Callithrix jacchus: one gene and its partners. The protein of the gene in region 2 interacts with the protein of the main gene of each other region in a pairwise test. Links are inferred from orthologs where the notes say so. Each region holds a gene or a part of one and is shown on either strand. Other genes may lie near its edges.

Region 1 (4,176 bases), on a different chromosome or scaffold from region 2:
GACCTAATAATGAAGCCTCCTCGAATAATGTTTGTAAATGAACAAAATGAAATTAATAGCATTAAAAAAAGAAAAAGAAAAAATACTAAGATCACAAAGAAAACCAATTATATGAAAACTCAATTATAACCACAGACCACAGTTCTAATCATGGGCATTTGGTTCAACAACTCCTGATAGAGGATATGCATTAACTTGGAAGAACATATAACATTAATTGCCTGAATATTCTATATACTGTACATGGTATCTATGACATTCCTATTAATTAAAAAAAATGTATAACCTGCAAAGATTAGGATATTACATAAAGTTATTTAAAATTTAACCTTTGAGGATTTTTACTTGTAGCAGAACAGGTTGCATCCATTTCCTGTTCCTATTATGTACAAATACTGTAATACAAAATTTTCTAAAAATCATCAATGTAAAATTAACAATACTACATTTGAACATCATTAATTTCTACCTAGCTCTTCAAAGATGGCATAAATCAGCACACTTCCTTCCTTAAAACAAGAGCTCGTGAGCAAGCGTAAGCTAAACTGGCAATCATCTTGGTCCTATCACACCTAGCACACTGTGTTCAAAATGCTACCAAATGCAATATATAAACTAACCAACTTTCTATAAGTTGTTTTGAGGTCTACAAGCAAGAAATACCTTATAGTTAAAGCTGTCAAAAAGGATCTCCTAAGTATTTTAATAACTAAACATCCTTGTAGGATAGTTTAATCCACCACTTTATAAAGATCAAATATATTTTTGGAAAGTTGTAGGGTAAAGCAATGTACCCTCTCCTACCCCAGTAAGTAAGAGAGTTCCAAACAGCTCCAGGAGGGAAAATAATTCTGATTTTGGCTTTTAAAGCTATATATAACCTTAAATAAGATAAAAATGTTCATTTTGAAACTTTGTCTTGTTAAAACAAACTTGTAAACCATATGGTATCAAAGCTGTATTTCTTGATACTACATAGTGTAAAATAAACATCTAACACTAAACAATATAAAAGAACTTGAATTACAGCACATATGGCAGATCTTAAGAGTACTGTAATTTTTCTTTTTTCTTTTTTTGAGGAAAGAATAAACTAGGTGGAAAAGTCTAACTTCCCATTAAAATATCTTTTTAAAAACTATCTTTCGCATCATTTAGTGAAAATAATATTAATGAATTAGCGTCATATTCCATGAACTTATACAATCTACATACATTTACAAAAAAAATTTTTAAATTCTTAGGAAAGGCCAGTTCTTAGTCTCTTATTTTTTACACGTTAGGAAGAAATACACACACCTACCAGTTTCATTAATGAAAAAATCTTAACAAATCATTTTCATGGTTTATCACCAGTAATCAAGAACCTGGACAAATTGTATCAAGGAGTTTATTTTAAAAGTCTTTGAAATACAAAACAAAAACCCTGTTTCTCGGACGATAATTAACTCCTACTTACACTGAGTTTGTCCATTTGAATTCTTATGACAGCAGCAGAGAAATCATATATTACTTTTGCAGAGTAAGTTTTGTTCACTTTGGGTTTTTAAAACAATTTATCTTTAACAAGACGAAGGGTCTTTGCTTAGATCATCATCATGGAACTGAAAAGAACAGAAAATAAAACTAACAAGTTTTCAATGTAGCCAAAAGTTCATTTCCATCAGACATTTTGTGTTAACACTTGCTACTCATTTTAAATAGCGAAAAACTAGCAAGGCTTTTCTTTAAAGAACGAACTAAAAGTGAATCAGAGCCTAATCACAAAACCCTTCCTTCTTGTTTACTGTTAAACCTAAATCAAAAATAGCCTTTGATATTCTTCACAAAATATATATATTTATACATACACACACACCTAAATCTATTTCCAGATAAGGAAACGTTCGGAAAACTTTGCTGTCCAACTGGTAATGCACTCCAGACTTTGCAATGATAAAGAAAATCTTGTAGTAGGGTTACAAACCTCAAAACATCCTCTGATTGCAGGTTTTAGAAACCCTTCCTATTACACCTGTGCAAGTACTTCCTGTCCTCCAACGCTGTTTAAAAATAGTTTAGTAAATGCCCCATAAGCCGCCGTTTGGAAGCTAAACATTAACTTTATATAAATCACCACTATCACTGAGAAACCACCACCCCAAGAACCTCACAAGTCCAGTCATCTCTCTTCTCCAAGGAGGGAGCATAACCATCCTGGACACCTTTATATAAAAAAAACTGTGTGGTCAGGCGAGGTAACGTGGCTTGGATAGCCAGAGGCAGGAGCCAAGTAAGGGTAATATTCACTACCCCAGAAGGACTCCAACTTCTGCCCCGTCGCCGCCCGCAAACACGGCAGCAATAACAACCAGGACCCAGCAAGTACAGCACCTCCTCCAGCCTCGCGCGCGCCTCCAGCCTGGCCAGAGGCATCTCCACCAGACGCAGCAAGAAGGGACTAGAGGGCTGCGTGACCTCCGGCGCCTGAACGGCCCAGTAAAGAGAGTGTGTGCCCTGAAGGCCGGGCGGGGAGAGGAGGTCTCCCGGCTGCGAGGAGAGAGACGTGGTCGGGGTCCAGAATGAGAGTAGCTGGGTCAGGCCCGCGGGGGTCGCAGGTCGCCGGATCTCCAACCAGAGGCTAGTTTCCGAGACTTACCTTGAGCTACTACCCTCTCTGCGCTAGGAGCTTACGGTCCAGATAGAGAAATACTGGCCTTCCACTCCCACAGAGCTGCCTCCGGCTGGCCCAGCTCCGCTTCTCGCCGACACCCGCCAGACACACCAACAGCTGCCAACGTACCAAGGCTCACCGGGAACTAGAGCAGAGACGGCTGGTCTCCGCCGCCCAGAGCCCGACCCTGAGCGCGGAGCATGCGCACACGCCCCAATACCCAGGAGCCAGTCAGGCCAGTGACACCTGCGATCAACAGGTCCCTGGAGCCCCGCCCCTCTCCCCGCCTCGAGCCCGCCCCCTCGGAGTTGGCTCCGCCTTCAGGCTCACCAAGGTAACCCCGCCTCCGCACGCTATTTCCCGGCTTTCCGGACCTGCGGAATTCTATTCCCGCGGGGATTTGATGGCGAGCGCGATATAGTTGGCGTCCTCGGAGGCGCGAGATCGCGCGAGACCGGGAGACATTTCCCCAAATCGGGAGCGTCACGCTGGAGCTTGGTTGTGGGGTGAAAGGTAGTTGTGGGACGTGCTGTCTGGTGTACCGAGGAAGAGAGGCTAGTTCCTCAGGAGGAGGCGATTATTCTGATGCTCTCGGTAGTTCATTCAGTATTTTCTAAGCTCGAGAACGGGGATCCACCGAGGACTGCGCTTAGGTTAGATGTCGCTTGAGAGAGCAATCCGTAGCTTGTCATCAAAACGCCAAGCAGACACTCAGTTTCCTATAGCTTTCTGTGAGTCGTTAGACGATCTATTTGCAGTTAAATGACTTCCTGTGGCGTGAATGGGTACTCCCCAAGCGGTTGTTTCGTGGCCTTTAATTAGATAGCTTTAATAAGCCTGTTGTCCTGGTTAATGATTGTCAGAAAAGACTGGCCGCCTTCTCACCGTGCTTTCGAACAGATTTTAAGTTTAAAAAGTACTGCGGGGAATTATGCCAAACTTTGATTTTAAAAAACGTTTCTTAGGAATAGTAGTAAAAGCAAAACCCATCGTCATTGATATCAAAGATCTCTGAAGTAAATAAGGTTTTGGAACTCAATTGCAAATCTGGTGTAAGTAGAAAATACTGATTGTAAAAAATGGATTTAAGTAAACCCAGAGGCACTTCTAAAATTTTATTTGAAGAAACGGGGAAGAAATATTCGACGTTGACACAGGCGACAAATGGGACCCGTTTGTAATGTCTAGACTGAATCCTTAAGAATGTATGGAGCATTTACTATGTTCCCTGTACTGAACTAGACACTGTAGGAAATAGAATGAAAGGAAGCCGTGGCTTCTGCCCTCAAAATACTAAAAACTTTGGGAGGAGTTGGGGAAGAAAGGGCCTACTCTGCATTTTTAAAACAATAAGAGCACACCATCAACTCTCCCTTCAGTTTCCCTAATGTTATTTTCTCCTCATTACACAGCTACTTTAAATATTGTTTTTGTTCTGCTTGGTCTCTGTGTTCTCCAGCACTCCATTTTCTTTTGCTGTTTCTGTTTAATGTTAATCCTCATGTCTCCTTGAGCAGTCTCTT
Region 2 (4,129 bases):
AAGGATGAGCGGTGCTCATGTTACTGCATTCCAGCATGGGTGACAAAGGCCCTGTCTCAGAATCGAGAGAAAGACAGCAACTGAATCATGGAATACAGGGTACATGGCAGAAAGAATTATCACAATACTTGTGAATTTTCCACACCCCGTCCACAAACTTTGGCAATCTTCGCCTTCTGTCCTGGGCCAAGGAACTGAGCTCTTATCTGTTTTGAAAAGGTGGTGCTCAATATCAAAGTAAGTGCTGAGACAGAAAATCATTACACTGAGGTGTGAAACAAAAGGCTGAAAAGTGATTTCAATCACAGTTTGCCATCATGTTACTATGTGAAATGCAAAACCCTAGATACCATGCAGGTGGCATCAAAGTAGAATAGAATCTGGTTAAAGGCAAACACATGTGCATCAATATTCCCATCTCATATTACAATACTATTAAGCTGGCCAGAATGAGAAAGACCCAGAATAATTTGTGAATATAAAGACCCCATATTCATTTTTAAAAACTGTTATGTGCTGGGCCAGGAGTGGTGGCTCATGCCTGTAATCCTAATATTTTGGGGCAGGCGGTTCACCTGAGGTCAGAAGTTTGAGGCCTGCCTGGTCAACATGTTGAAACACCGCCTTTACTAAAAAAAAAATTAGCCAGGCGCAGTGGCGCGTGCCTGTAGTCCCAGCTACCAGGGCGGCTGAGGTGGGAGGATCTCTTGAGCCCAGGAGTTCTGGGCTGTAGTGCACTATGCCAATCCGGTGTCCGCACTAAGTTCAGCATCAATATGGTGACCTCCCGTGAGCGCGGGACCACCACGTTGCCTAAGGAGGGGTGAATCGGCCCAGGTCGGAATGGAGCAAGTCAAAACTCCCATGCTGATCAGTAGTGGGATCGCACCTGTGAACAACAGCCACTGCAGTGCAGCCTGGGCAACATAGCAAGACCCCGTCTCAATAAAAACAACAACAATAACAAAACAACAAAAAAATACAAAAATTAGTCTGGCGTGGTGGTGCGCGCCTGTAATCCCGGCTACTCGGGAGGCTGAGACAGGAGAATCGCTTGAACCCAGGAAGTGGAGGCTGCAGTGAGCCAAGACTGCGCCACTGCACTCTGGCATGGGCATCGGAACAAGACTCCATCTCAGAAAAAAGTAAAATAAATATTGGTATGTGTTAACCACAAAGAAACTGCCCATCCAGTTCTCTATTTCTGGCCAGAAAGTAACTCTAAATCAGAACTATCCTACAAGGGCAAGCGTACAAAGGCTGACTCAGGAGCTTCTAGATTCATAGGAGGCTAGCCCGGAGCTAGTCTAAGCTGGCAGAGAAGCTGCTTGGACTTGGCAACAGCGTGAAGGCACGAGAAGTCCTGACGCTGTTCCACAGACATACACATCTAACGGGACCTCAGAATGACTCTGCACCTCAGTCTCCAGCACTAAGGACACAAATCTACTCCCTTAACCCTCCCAAACAACTCAATGTCACCGGCAAGGCAGTCACCTCCCTGGGGTCCCCGGCAAGGAAACCCCGTGCAGACCATTCATGTCCTCTGCGCAGTCTGTTCCCAACATCCAGGAAGATCCAGCCCGCAGTCTCGGCTCACGGGGCAAGGTCACGCCCTGGAGTACACACGGACCCTGTTCAAGCCCAGGGAATATCAAGTTCCAGATCCTTCCAGGGATGGGGCTGTTTCCATTGCCTCACTTCTGGTTTACTTTCTGGAATAAGATGTCTTTCCTCCACTAAACACTGAGAACCAGAGCCTATAACAGCGGAGGGCAGCCTACGGGGACGCTTAGATCGCTCCGACACCGCCAACATGCCCCGACAGCGGGTCGGACTGGTTCCTGAAGGCGTCCTCCGATCACCCAGGCACTTAGTTCACCCCCTTCGTCCTCAACCGGGGAAGAGGACGGTGGAAGTATTTTGGAAAAATGCCCAAGAAAGGAAAAAACGGACCGGCTTCCTGAGGGTGTCTCCATCCCTCCCGGCCAGTACGTGGTGACTTCCCACCCCAGGCCACCAGGGGAGCACGGCCAAACCCGGCAGGAAACGATTCCAGCCTAAAAGCCACTTGCAGGATTACCGGATTCATTCTGGGCACCGCTGCCAAGGGATGCCCCCGCAGTGCCAACAGCTCCCTCGGCTCTTTGTCCGCACGCTGCCCTGCGCTCCCTCCCCGAGCGCCGGGCCCGGGAGCCAGCCCCACCCTGGGCCGAAGCAGTTCCCCTTCCCCGGGCCGCTCTCCGCAGGCACACCCAGGGGCCTCGGCCCGCGGCTCCTCCTCCCGACGCTCCCGCTCCCCGGCTGGGCGCCGCGGTCCCCCAGCCCTCGGCCCGCGACCCCCGAGGGTCCGCTGGAGCAGCAGCCGGCTGGGCTGCCAGTTCCGCGGGCCTCACCACGCCCAGCCCCCGCGTCCCGTCCGTCCCGTCCGTCCCTCACCGGACGGCGGCTGCGCGGGCGACGGCGGCACCGGCGGGCGCGGGCCGCTGCTGTTGATGATGTAGTGGGAGACGCGCGAGTTCTCGGACACGCTGAGTACATAGTCCCCGGGGCTGGTGCTCGAGTCCCGCACCAGGAAGACCCCGTGCCGCTGGCCCTGCAGCAGCGCCACCGCCTCCTGCCGACTCAGACGCCCCCAGTACCAGCTACTCCGCTCCTCCGAGTCGAAGTTGCCCGCCATGGCTGCCTCCGCGCCTACACGCTGGGCTGCCGCGCCGCGCGCGCCCCTCCTGCCCACGGCGCCCGCCGCCCAGCAGACCGGCTCCGGTTTCAACCTCACAGCAGCGCCCGAAATGGCGGCGGAGGCCGCGGGTCTTCCCCACCGGAAATGACGCGCTCCCTGCCCTGGGGAGGCTGCCGGGAAAGGGCCCGCCGCCCGCCATTGGGAGAAGGGCAAGGCGGCCTCGCGCGCGCACTGCGCATGCGGCCTCATGGGCGGTGCCGCCTGGCCGGGCCAGGGGCTGGGAGGCGGGGTCTAGGGCGTGGGGGCGGGGTCTCACCGCCTGCCGCAGAGATGTGCGCCTGCGCCACTGGCCGCGGTGGCCCTTCCCCCACCCCCCACAACCAGGCTATCGTTCACGGAAGGCCTGGGTCTTCTAGATAGCGACTCCCAGACAGAACTGGAGGAGAAAAGATGCATGTAACCCCCCCCCGAGTTTTCGGCCAGGCTTCCTGAAGTGTCGGTCTGTTTCTTTTTTTTGAGACGGAGTCTCGCTCTGATGCCCAGGCTGTAGTGCAGTGACGCGATCTCGGCTCACTGCAACCCCCGCCTCCGCCTCCCGAGTAGCTGGGACTACAGGCGCGCGCCACCACGCCCGGCTAATTTTTTTGGTATTTTTAGTAGAGATGGAGTTTCACCATGTTGGCCAGGCTGGTCTCGAACGTCTGACCTCGTGATCAGCCCGCCTGGGCATCCCAGTGTGCTGGGATTACCGGCAAGAGCCACTGCGTCCAGCTTCTTTTTTTTTTTTTTTTTTGGAGACGGATTCTCGCTTTGTCACCCAGACTGGAGTGCCGTGTCGCAGTCTCTGCTCACTGCTACCTCTGCCTCCCGGGTTCAAACGATTCTCCTGCCTCAGCCTCCCTAGCAGCTAGGACTACAGGTGCCCACCACCACACCCGGCTCATTTTTTAATTTTTAGCAGAGATGGGGTTTTCACGTTGTTAGCCAGCTGGTCTCAAACTCCTAACCTCAGGTGATCCACCCGCCTCGGCCTCCCAGAGTGCTGAGATTACAGGCGACAGCCATTTGCGCCCGGCCACGTCGGTCTGTTTGTGTGCATTCCTCTCGCTTCTCCGCTGACGTTCTCGTTTCCATTTATTCATTCAGCATATCGTTACTGACACTCTGCCTGCACTGTGGGTGCAAAGGTGATGGAGGCCAGGCCCTGCCCTCCTCCAACTCACAGACTAGTGAGAGGAACCAGGAAACTGGATGACAAAAGGATGACAAATGCTGACGAGCGCTATCATGGGAGACAGATATGGACACAGAGCAGAGCCCCCAGTCCAGTCTATGGAGTAATCCAGGAAACCTTCCCAGAGGAGGTGGCATGTGTTAACTGTTGAATGGCAAATGGAGAAGGACATTCAAAGCAAAGGGAGCAGAGTTCTCTCTTTTGAGGCCTTG
Region 3 (3,965 bases), on a different chromosome or scaffold from region 2:
TAAGGGATACTCAACTTATATATACCTTGGCTTTTCTAATGTTTTCTAGTTTTCAAATATTGTCTTGTCCTCATGCAACCTGAAATATCTTAATGCCAACTTTTGGCATCCAGAAAGCCCTGAAACGGACATAAAAACCCCTTGTCAGTTTAGGTATCTAATAGTTTGACTTAAAAAATGTCAACCACTTAATATACTAGGCAAAATCTTAATACAAGATTTATTCCCTGGATTAAATTCTCCCCTACAGCCATGTCCTGTGAATGTTTTAAAATCCGAACCCAAAATGACAATTACACAGAGCTCTTCCAATGAATTTAAAAGAAGTCTCTACCTAAGGACACTTCCTATAGTACATAAATTGATTTCAGACACTACTGAATGACCTGAGGTCATTTGTTGGCATCTTTAGTGACGGTAAAATAAAATTCAGAATTATTTCAACTTGTCCTACCCTAATCTAAATGACCTCATACAAAATTAACTTAGGCCATGGTACAGTCTTATCAGTAACAGTTCTGAATGCTGAAATATAAACACAGGTAACTGATCGTATCTAACACTTCTAAGTCCTCTTTAAAAATGACATTAAAGCCAGGTGTTGTGGCTCACACCTGTAATCCCAGCACTTTAAGAGGCCGAGGCAGGTGGATCACCAGGTCAGATCAAAACCATCCCAGCCAACATGGCGAAACCCAGTCTCTACTAAAAATACAAAAAAAAAATTAGCTGGGCATGGTGGTGCATGCCTGTAATTCCAGCTACTCTGGAGGCTGAGGCAGGGAAAATCATTTGAACCAGGGAGTTGGAGGTTGCAGTGAGCCAAGATCGTGCCACTGCTCTTCAGCCTGGTGACAGAGTGATATTGTCTCTCACACACACACATGAAAAAGATACTAACATAAAATGCCTATTTTCCAGTTCTAAAACACTGATTTCTAAGTCACTGTTAATAGATCTGACTGAGACAATGTAATACAGTAGAAAGTAGAGAATGCCAGGAGTCAAAGCCTATGGTTTGAATTCAGGCTTTGTTAATAACTAGCTATGTCTGAACAAATCACCCTTGTCAGTTATGGGCATAAATGCCCAACCTGTTTGCCTCAAGAATTAGAGACAATAACTTACATGAAACTGCTTTTATCAATCAGCAAGCACTAGACAAATAAAAAGTATTACCTGTCGACGACAACCCACAACATATCTCGGTCCATTTGTTGCTTTAACGATGACTAGAAGAAAAAAACAAAAAAGAAGTAATTGAAAAACAAAGTAAAAAAATACATATCCACATTGATAGAGGGCTTAGTTTTATTTTCTGTCCTCCAAGAAGACAATAGTTGAAGACAAACTTAAGTCTATGCAAAAATACTCTCTCTCTGCATTAGTGTCATTATGCATTTTGAAATAATATGCATTTCAAAAGTTAGAGAGAGGTGAGCTGTTTCTTTACTAATTACTAATCTAAATTCACTCACATTTTTCTTCGGTTAACTGTTTAAGCACTTCACCCACAATCTAAGGAAGAAAATAAAAAGCATTACTTTTTGGCAACACCTAAATAAAAAAGCAAATTACCATCACCCGCTAATCCCCAAACTCCATTACCTACCTGCCCAACACTTTGTAGGGCCTTCAAATCATTTTCAGACTTTTCATACTGCTTGGTAAGTTCTTTTAATTGTTCCCTTACTGAAATAATACAATTTGAACATTTTTAGTTGAACAGTAATCTTAATGTGTTTAAATCGCTAAATCTCACTTTAGTGTTTACTTAAGTCTATTTCACTTTACCTAAGTTTCACATCCACTATTTCAAACCACAAAAGAAACAATGCTGTTTGTAATAGTAGGTGGCATGTACAACAAAAAAATGTTTCAGAGAAAGCACCGTAATTTTATTTTCTTGATCGGCAACACTTGTTTAAGCACATTAAGTTATATTCTTAACAGATATTGACACATTGACACTTAGGATTTGCGACTACAAATCCGAATGATAATCAGTTAGTTAGACCCTTCCTCACCTATTCACCTACCCACTTGGATTCTTCTCTGATATTCTAACCTCAAGTCAAAAAATGGAGTTCTCCACAGAATCACTTAGTTACAGTCCTCCTTCATTTAATTAAACCACTCATGCTTTTCAATGAAAATGCACTGGAAAAAAAAAAAGTTAAGCCCTCAAGAGGTAAGGGAAATTTGTATGCCTTGATACAGTACAACAGGAAACACGACAAAAGACGAAATGGGTTATTGTGACAACTGGAACCCTTCTCTCTTAAGCTCCGCGGCCGTCTTTTACTTCCAACAAGCCGACTCCCTGAGTCTCATCTCTTGTTTGAGCTTCCTTGACTCAAGCGCCTTCCCCTCTTCGAGTCCCAGGACTCCAAAAACACTGCCCTCCTTGCACCCTAACCTGAGTAACATCCTCGGCCTACTTCTTCCCACTCCTCCTCTAGTTCTTTTTCATTTCCACTTCAGGGCCGCGGATGTTCTGTCACTTGGACTGGACTGGGCCATTTCTACACACGAAGGAGTGCTGCTCCCCAAGCTCAGGGCCGGATGACAAAGCGCCTTGTCCCTGGACCGAGGCCTGGTCATATCTAAGTCTCGGTTACCGGGCTCGGCCAAAGGCTTCTACTTTGTTAGAGGCAGAAGCGAGTCGAGGCACTTGATTACATAGAAAGAAGGGTGCGCTCACACTCCTTAAGACGGCCGTCGATCTCCTTGTGCTCAAGCAGCTTCTTGCGGTAGTCCTGAAGCGCCTTATCTCTAGGGTCCGCCATGATGAGAAGCCGTCTCTCATAGGGGATGCCGGGAATGGCCATGGCCGTCAGGGCGGGGGAAGGGGCGGGGCAAGGGACGAAACCAGGCCTGTAGGGGTGGGTTTGCCCATGGACCCGCCCCTTCCTGTTGGCCCCGCCTTTCTACTTCAGTTCTCCCACCTCTATGTCTTGGTTCACCTAGAACGCCGGCGTACACTAAAGGGGGACTCCGACCACACCGTCCCCTGCAGGCCAAGATGGGTAAAGCAGGACGCAGTTACCCGGTCTTCCCCGGAGAGGCCTCAGTATTAACTGCTGTCCCGGAACTATAAAAGGCTGTGTAATAAAATGAGATGAAAGTGAAGTAGGAAATGTGTAATACCTCAAAAGAGTTCCGATGGCCTGTCGACACAACACAGATGGCCTTTCGTATACCACAGTGCTATCCAAGACCTCCACGTTCAGAAGTAGGCAGTTTTATTCAACCCTTCAGTGAGTGAATGAGGTATTAAAAATAAATCTGCTTATGATTTGGTGGGAAATAATTAAAAAAAAACCTTGAGAGTATAGCAAATACTATGAAGGAATTAAAATACGGTGAGAAGTATGGTGGGAAAAATTAATCTAGAGCAGATATCTGAGATGAGATGAAACCAGCCTTGCAACAACTGAAGCAAACCTTCTAAACAAAGGAAACAGAAAGCACAAGTCCTGGAGTGGGGTGGGGTGGCGGGATGTGGGTAGAAAGCTTGGCTCACTTCCAGGAACAGAAAGGCCAATGGTACCAGTAGCGGGTGGGTTGTAGAGACGTGGGGTGCAAGATAAAGATGCGGAAGTAGGCTGAGGCAGGAACTCTGAAGGCTGATAGAACTTTCAGATTATTATTATTATTTTTTTTAAATGGAGTCTCGCTCCTGTCACACAGGCTGGAGTGCAGTGGCGCAATCTCGGCTCACCGCAACCACCGCCTCCCGGGTTCAAGCAATTCTCGTGCCTCCTGAGAGCTGGGATTACAGGCTCCCGCCGCCACGCTCAGCTCATTTTTGTATTTTTAGTAGAGACAGGGTTTCACTGTGTTGGCCAGGCTGGTCTTGAACTCCTTACCTCAAGTGATCCGCCTGCCTCAGCCTCCCAAAGTGCTGAGATTACAGGTGTGAGCCATCACGGCTGGCCAACTTTCAGATTTTTGTGATTTGG
Region 4 (4,196 bases), on a different chromosome or scaffold from region 2:
ACACTGCTGGCAGAGTGACACTATGAAAACTTTACATCCTTTCAGCGGTTTATTGCTCTTAGAATAAAAATAATTGTCTTTGGCTGGGCGCAGTGGCTCATGCCTGTAATTCCAGCACTTTGGGAGGCCGAGGCGGGTGGATCACAAGGTTAGACGTTTGAGATCAGCCTGACCAACATGGTGAAACCCCATCACTACTAAAAATACAAAAATTAGCAGGGCGTGGTAGCAGGCACCTGTAATCCCAGCTACTCGGGAGGCCGAGGCAGGAGAATTACTTGAACCCGGAGGCAGAGGTTGGGTGAGCCGAGATCGCGCCATTGCACTCCAGCCTGGGCGACATAGCGGGACTCCTTCTCAACAAAAAAAAAAAACAAAACAACAACAAAAATTAGCTGGGCATGGTGCTGCGCGCCTGTAATCCCAGCTAATCGATAGGCTGAGTCAGGAGAATCCCTTGAACCTGGGAGGCGGAGGGTGCAGTGAGCCGAGATCAGCCACTGCACTCCAGCGTGGGTGACAGAAAGAAACTCGTCTCGTTAAAAAAATAAAAATGTTTAGGCCGGGTGCAGTGGTTTACAGTTGTAATCCCAGCACTTTGGGAAGCCAAAGCGGGCAGATCACAAGGTCAGGAGTTCGAAACGAGCTAGACCAACAAAGTAAAACCGCGTCTCTACCAAAAATACAAAAAACTAGTCGGTAATCCTAGCTACTGAGGAGGCTGAGGCAGGAGAGTTGCTCGACCCGGGAGGCGAAGGTTGCAGTCAGCTGAGATCACGCCACTGCACTCTAGCCTGGAAGACAGAGCGAGACTCCGTCTCTAAAATTAAAAAAATGTAATCTAAAACTTCCCCTAGCCTTTTACCTCGTTGCCTTTCTGAGAGCAAGATGGGTCACCAGCAGCTGTACTGGAGCCACCCGCGAAAATTCGGCCAGGGTTCTCGCTCTTGACGAGTCTGTTCAAACCCGCACTGTTTGATACGTAAATACGGTCTCAATATGTGCCGCCAGTGTTTCCGTCAGTACGCGAAGGATATAGGTTTCATTAAGTTGGACTAAATGGTCTTCAAAGGATTATCCAAGACATCTACCATGAAAAACCATTTTTTTTTTTTTTTTTTTTGAGACGGAGTTTCGCTCTTGTTACCCAGGCTGGAGTGCAATGGCGCGATCTCGGCTCACCCAACCTCCGCCTCCTGGGTTCAGGCAATTCTCCTGCCTCAGCCTCCTGAGTAGCCGGGATTACAGGCACGCGCCACCATGCCCAGCTAATTTTTTGTATTTTTAGTAGAGACGGGGTTTCACCTTGTTGACCAGGATGGTCTCGATCTCTTGACCTCGTGATCCGCCCGCCTCGGCCTCCCAAAGTGCTGGGATTACAGGCTTGAGCCACCGCGCCCGGCCTCATGAAAAACCATTATACCTCTTTGTATATAAAATAAACATTTTTAAAAACCAAAAAAAAATTCCCCTAAATCTAAATCTTTTTCTTCACTTTCAGGCGGATTACTGCACAGATTAACATTTGTATGGCATTTTTACATCTCTATAGCAGGTCTACATTTGGATTTGAAATTTACCTTTGCGTAACCCTTACAAGAACTACTCACTTTGGACCTCACGAAGACTTAAAACTGAGAGTTAAAAACGACCCGGTTCAAGTAAAGAGGCTCAAATATGGCCGTTCAGTGCATGTGCAACACGTCTCAAAAGCTCTCTTCCTTCAGTTTGTGCGGCTGCCAATGTCTGGCTCCGCTTGCTCCTAAATCCTAAGGACACTGGGAAAAAGAAAATTCGTACCCAGCACCTTTGGTTTAGGATCCGTGTCCATCTAAAGGGAATTAAGGAGTTTCACGCTTTTCCAACCTCAGCTCAATGACCTCTTCCTAAAATCTTCCCTCACCGCCGGTTTTCTCCTGTAACCATTTCCCTCTGGCCCCGATATTCAGTTAATTCTTCCGACCGGACAAAGCACTTCTTCAAAACAGAACACCCGGGCCCGGAGCAGCGGCGTGTGCCCAAAAGCACTTTGGAAGGCCGAGGCGGAAAGGTCGCTTGAGCCTGGGCGGTCAAGGTGGCACTGAGCAGTGATGCTCACTCCAGCCTGGGAGACACGCAGGGACCCTGTTCCCAAAACCAAAACCTCAACACCTCATTTCTCTCTTGGTCCCCATCTCTTGACACCCTCAACCTCCTCTCCTCAGCTAAACCTAGCAAACCTCATTTCTTACTCCGCTGTACCAGGCTGCAATCATGTTCTTGGGGTTTATTCCTAAGAGGCAAGAGAAGAAAACCCGAAGGTACATTGTTTTCTCCTTAAAAGACAAATCCGGGCCGGGCGCGGTGGCTCATACCTGTAATCTCAGCACCTGGGACGGCCAAGGCAGATCACCTGAAGTCGGAGTTTGAGACCGGCCTGACCAACACGGTGAAACCCCATCTCTACTAAAAATACAAAAATCAGCTGGGCGTGGTGGCGCGTGCCTGTAGTCCCAGCTACTCGCGAGGCTGAGGCAGGAGAATCGCTTGAACCCAGAAGGCGGAGGTTGCCCTGAGCCGAGATCGGGCCATTGCACTCCAGCCTGGGCGACGCAGCGAGGCTCCGTCTCAATAATAATAATAATAATAATAATAATAATAATAATCAGGAGTGCTCAGGGAAGACAGAAACACGAGGAGACAAAGACAGAAAACACATTCACTAAGACTGTACCGACCTCCTTGCCTTTTACCTTCTCCATATTCGGACAGGAAGCGAAGCTTGGCCAGATGCTTCCAAAATGGCCCCTGGCCCCAGATTGTTGTTTGCAAAGTCTCCTCCCACTTCCTGCCTCCCAAAGACCCTTTTTCTCCCCACCTCTTCTTTTCTGCTCCCCTTCTGTTCCCTCCCCCACAATTTGTAAATGCTGAAATTGTATCCTTTCTTATTCATGAGGGGACTTTTGTAGGGGTGGAATCACTAATCCCATTCCTGGCCCTTTTCTGTGCACTTTTAATGTAATTATCCAAAGTATGGTTCCGGAGACCTTGAGAGGTAAAAGGCTCCTGCAGAACAATTCCTGGGGGGGGGGGGGGGGGGGGGGAGTTGCCAGAGACTTGACTTGTGCAGGATGTGGAAAGGGATTTAGTAATGGAACATGTGGAAACAGCAGACTTCAGGGACCAGACTGGTGGCTTGAAGAAAGCTAAACTATTTTCTCCCACCGAATACATTCCATTTCCTAAGGGAGTTACTCAACCAACTAAAACTCAGGTTTCTGTCTGTACCAACACCCAGCATCTTTTTCATCTGCCAATGATCTAGTAATCATAGGTTTTAAAGTCTGCAGAGTAGGACGGGCGTGGTGGCTCAAGCCTGCAGTCCCAGCACTTTGGGAGGCCCGGGTGGGCGGATCACAAGGTCAAGAGATCGATACCAATTTGGCCAACATAGTGAAACCCCATCTCTACTAAAAATACAAAAATTAGGCCGGGCGCGGTGGTTCACGCCTGTAATCCCAGCACTTTGGGAGGCCGAGGCGGGCGGATCACGAAGTCAAGAGATCGAGACCATCCTGGTCAACAGGGTGAAATCCCGTCTCTACTGAAAATACAAAAATTAGCCGGGCGTGGTAGCACGCGCCTGTAATCCCAGCTGCTCCGGAGGCTGAGGCGGAAAAATCGCTTGAACCCAGGCGGAGGTTGCAGTGAGCAGAGATTGCGCCACTGCACTCCAGCCTGGCGACAGAGTAAGACTCCATCTCAAAAAAATAAATAATAAATAATAATAATAATACAAAAATTAGCTGGGAGTGGTGGCGCGCGCCAGTAATCTCAGTTACTCAAGACGCCGAGGCAGGAGAATCGCTTGAACCCAGGAGGCGGAGGTTGCAGTGAGCCGAGATCTTCCCATTGCACTCCAGCCTGGCAATAGAGGGAGACTCCGTCTCAAAAAAAAAACGTCTATAGAGTATGTTATTTATTGTGTGTGTGTGTTGGGAGTGGGCAGGGCGGGGTCCTCTCTACTTTGACCAGGCTGGTCTCGAACTCTATGCTTCCAGTGATTCTCCAGCCTTCTCCTCCCAAGGTGTTGGCATTACACGTGTGAGCCAGCACTCCGAGCCCAAGTATTCTTTATATCAAATTGTGAGTTTAAAACTCAGTCAGGGCGTGGTGGCTCATGCCTGTAATCCCAGCACTTTGGGAGACTGAGGTGG

The links. The genes of interacting proteins can lie anywhere in the genome.
Region 1: the proteins of CRK (region 2) and USP53 interact in binary tests that used the Homo sapiens proteins (3 or more experiments, as listed by UniProt). The two-hybrid records come from large-scale screens. The link is inferred for Callithrix jacchus from reciprocal best matches to the Homo sapiens genes CRK and USP53.
Region 3: the proteins of CRK (region 2) and PSMC6 interact in binary tests that used the Homo sapiens proteins (3 or more experiments, as listed by UniProt). The two-hybrid records come from large-scale screens. The link is inferred for Callithrix jacchus from reciprocal best matches to the Homo sapiens genes CRK and PSMC6.
Region 4: the proteins of CRK (region 2) and DPPA4 interact in binary tests that used the Homo sapiens proteins (3 or more experiments, as listed by UniProt). The two-hybrid records come from large-scale screens. The link is inferred for Callithrix jacchus from reciprocal best matches to the Homo sapiens genes CRK and DPPA4.

What each region holds. Positions count from the first base shown.
Region 1 is NC_133504.1:78,358,269-78,362,444, forward strand, and holds the start of USP53 (ubiquitin carboxyl-terminal hydrolase 53), read right to left. Parts: upstream 2,801-4,176; 5' UTR 2,639-2,800; intron 2,408-2,638; exon of another isoform or gene 2,374-2,407; intron 1,605-2,373; 5' UTR 1,460-1,604; intron 1-1,459. Other genes in the region: uncharacterized protein LOC144581759, read left to right, coding at 2,854-2,987. UniProt on the Homo sapiens protein: Deubiquitinase that mediates 'Lys-63'-linked deubiquitination of tight junction proteins, such as MARVELD2 and LSR, and which is involved in the survival of auditory hair cells and hearing.
Region 2 is NC_133506.1:66,779,967-66,784,095, reverse strand, and holds the start of CRK (adapter molecule crk), read right to left. Parts: upstream 2,801-4,129; 5' UTR 2,681-2,800; coding exon 2,440-2,680; intron 1-2,439. UniProt on the Homo sapiens protein: Involved in cell branching and adhesion mediated by BCAR1-CRK-RAPGEF1 signaling and activation of RAP1.
Region 3 is NC_133509.1:87,260,229-87,264,193, reverse strand, and holds the start of PSMC6 (26S proteasome regulatory subunit 10B), read right to left. Parts: upstream 2,801-3,965; 5' UTR 2,790-2,800; coding exon 2,705-2,789; exon of another isoform or gene 2,420-2,704; intron 1,693-2,419; coding exon 1,613-1,692; intron 1,519-1,612; coding exon 1,479-1,518; intron 1,233-1,478; coding exon 1,180-1,232; intron 1-1,179. UniProt on the Homo sapiens protein: Component of the 26S proteasome, a multiprotein complex involved in the ATP-dependent degradation of ubiquitinated proteins.
Region 4 is NC_133516.1:100,617,561-100,621,756, forward strand, and holds the start of DPPA4 (developmental pluripotency-associated protein 4), read right to left. Parts: upstream 2,801-4,196; 5' UTR 2,742-2,800; coding exon 2,718-2,741; intron 1,098-2,717; exon of another isoform or gene 857-1,097; intron 1-856. UniProt on the Homo sapiens protein: May be involved in the maintenance of active epigenetic status of target genes. May inhibit differentiation of embryonic cells into a primitive ectoderm lineage.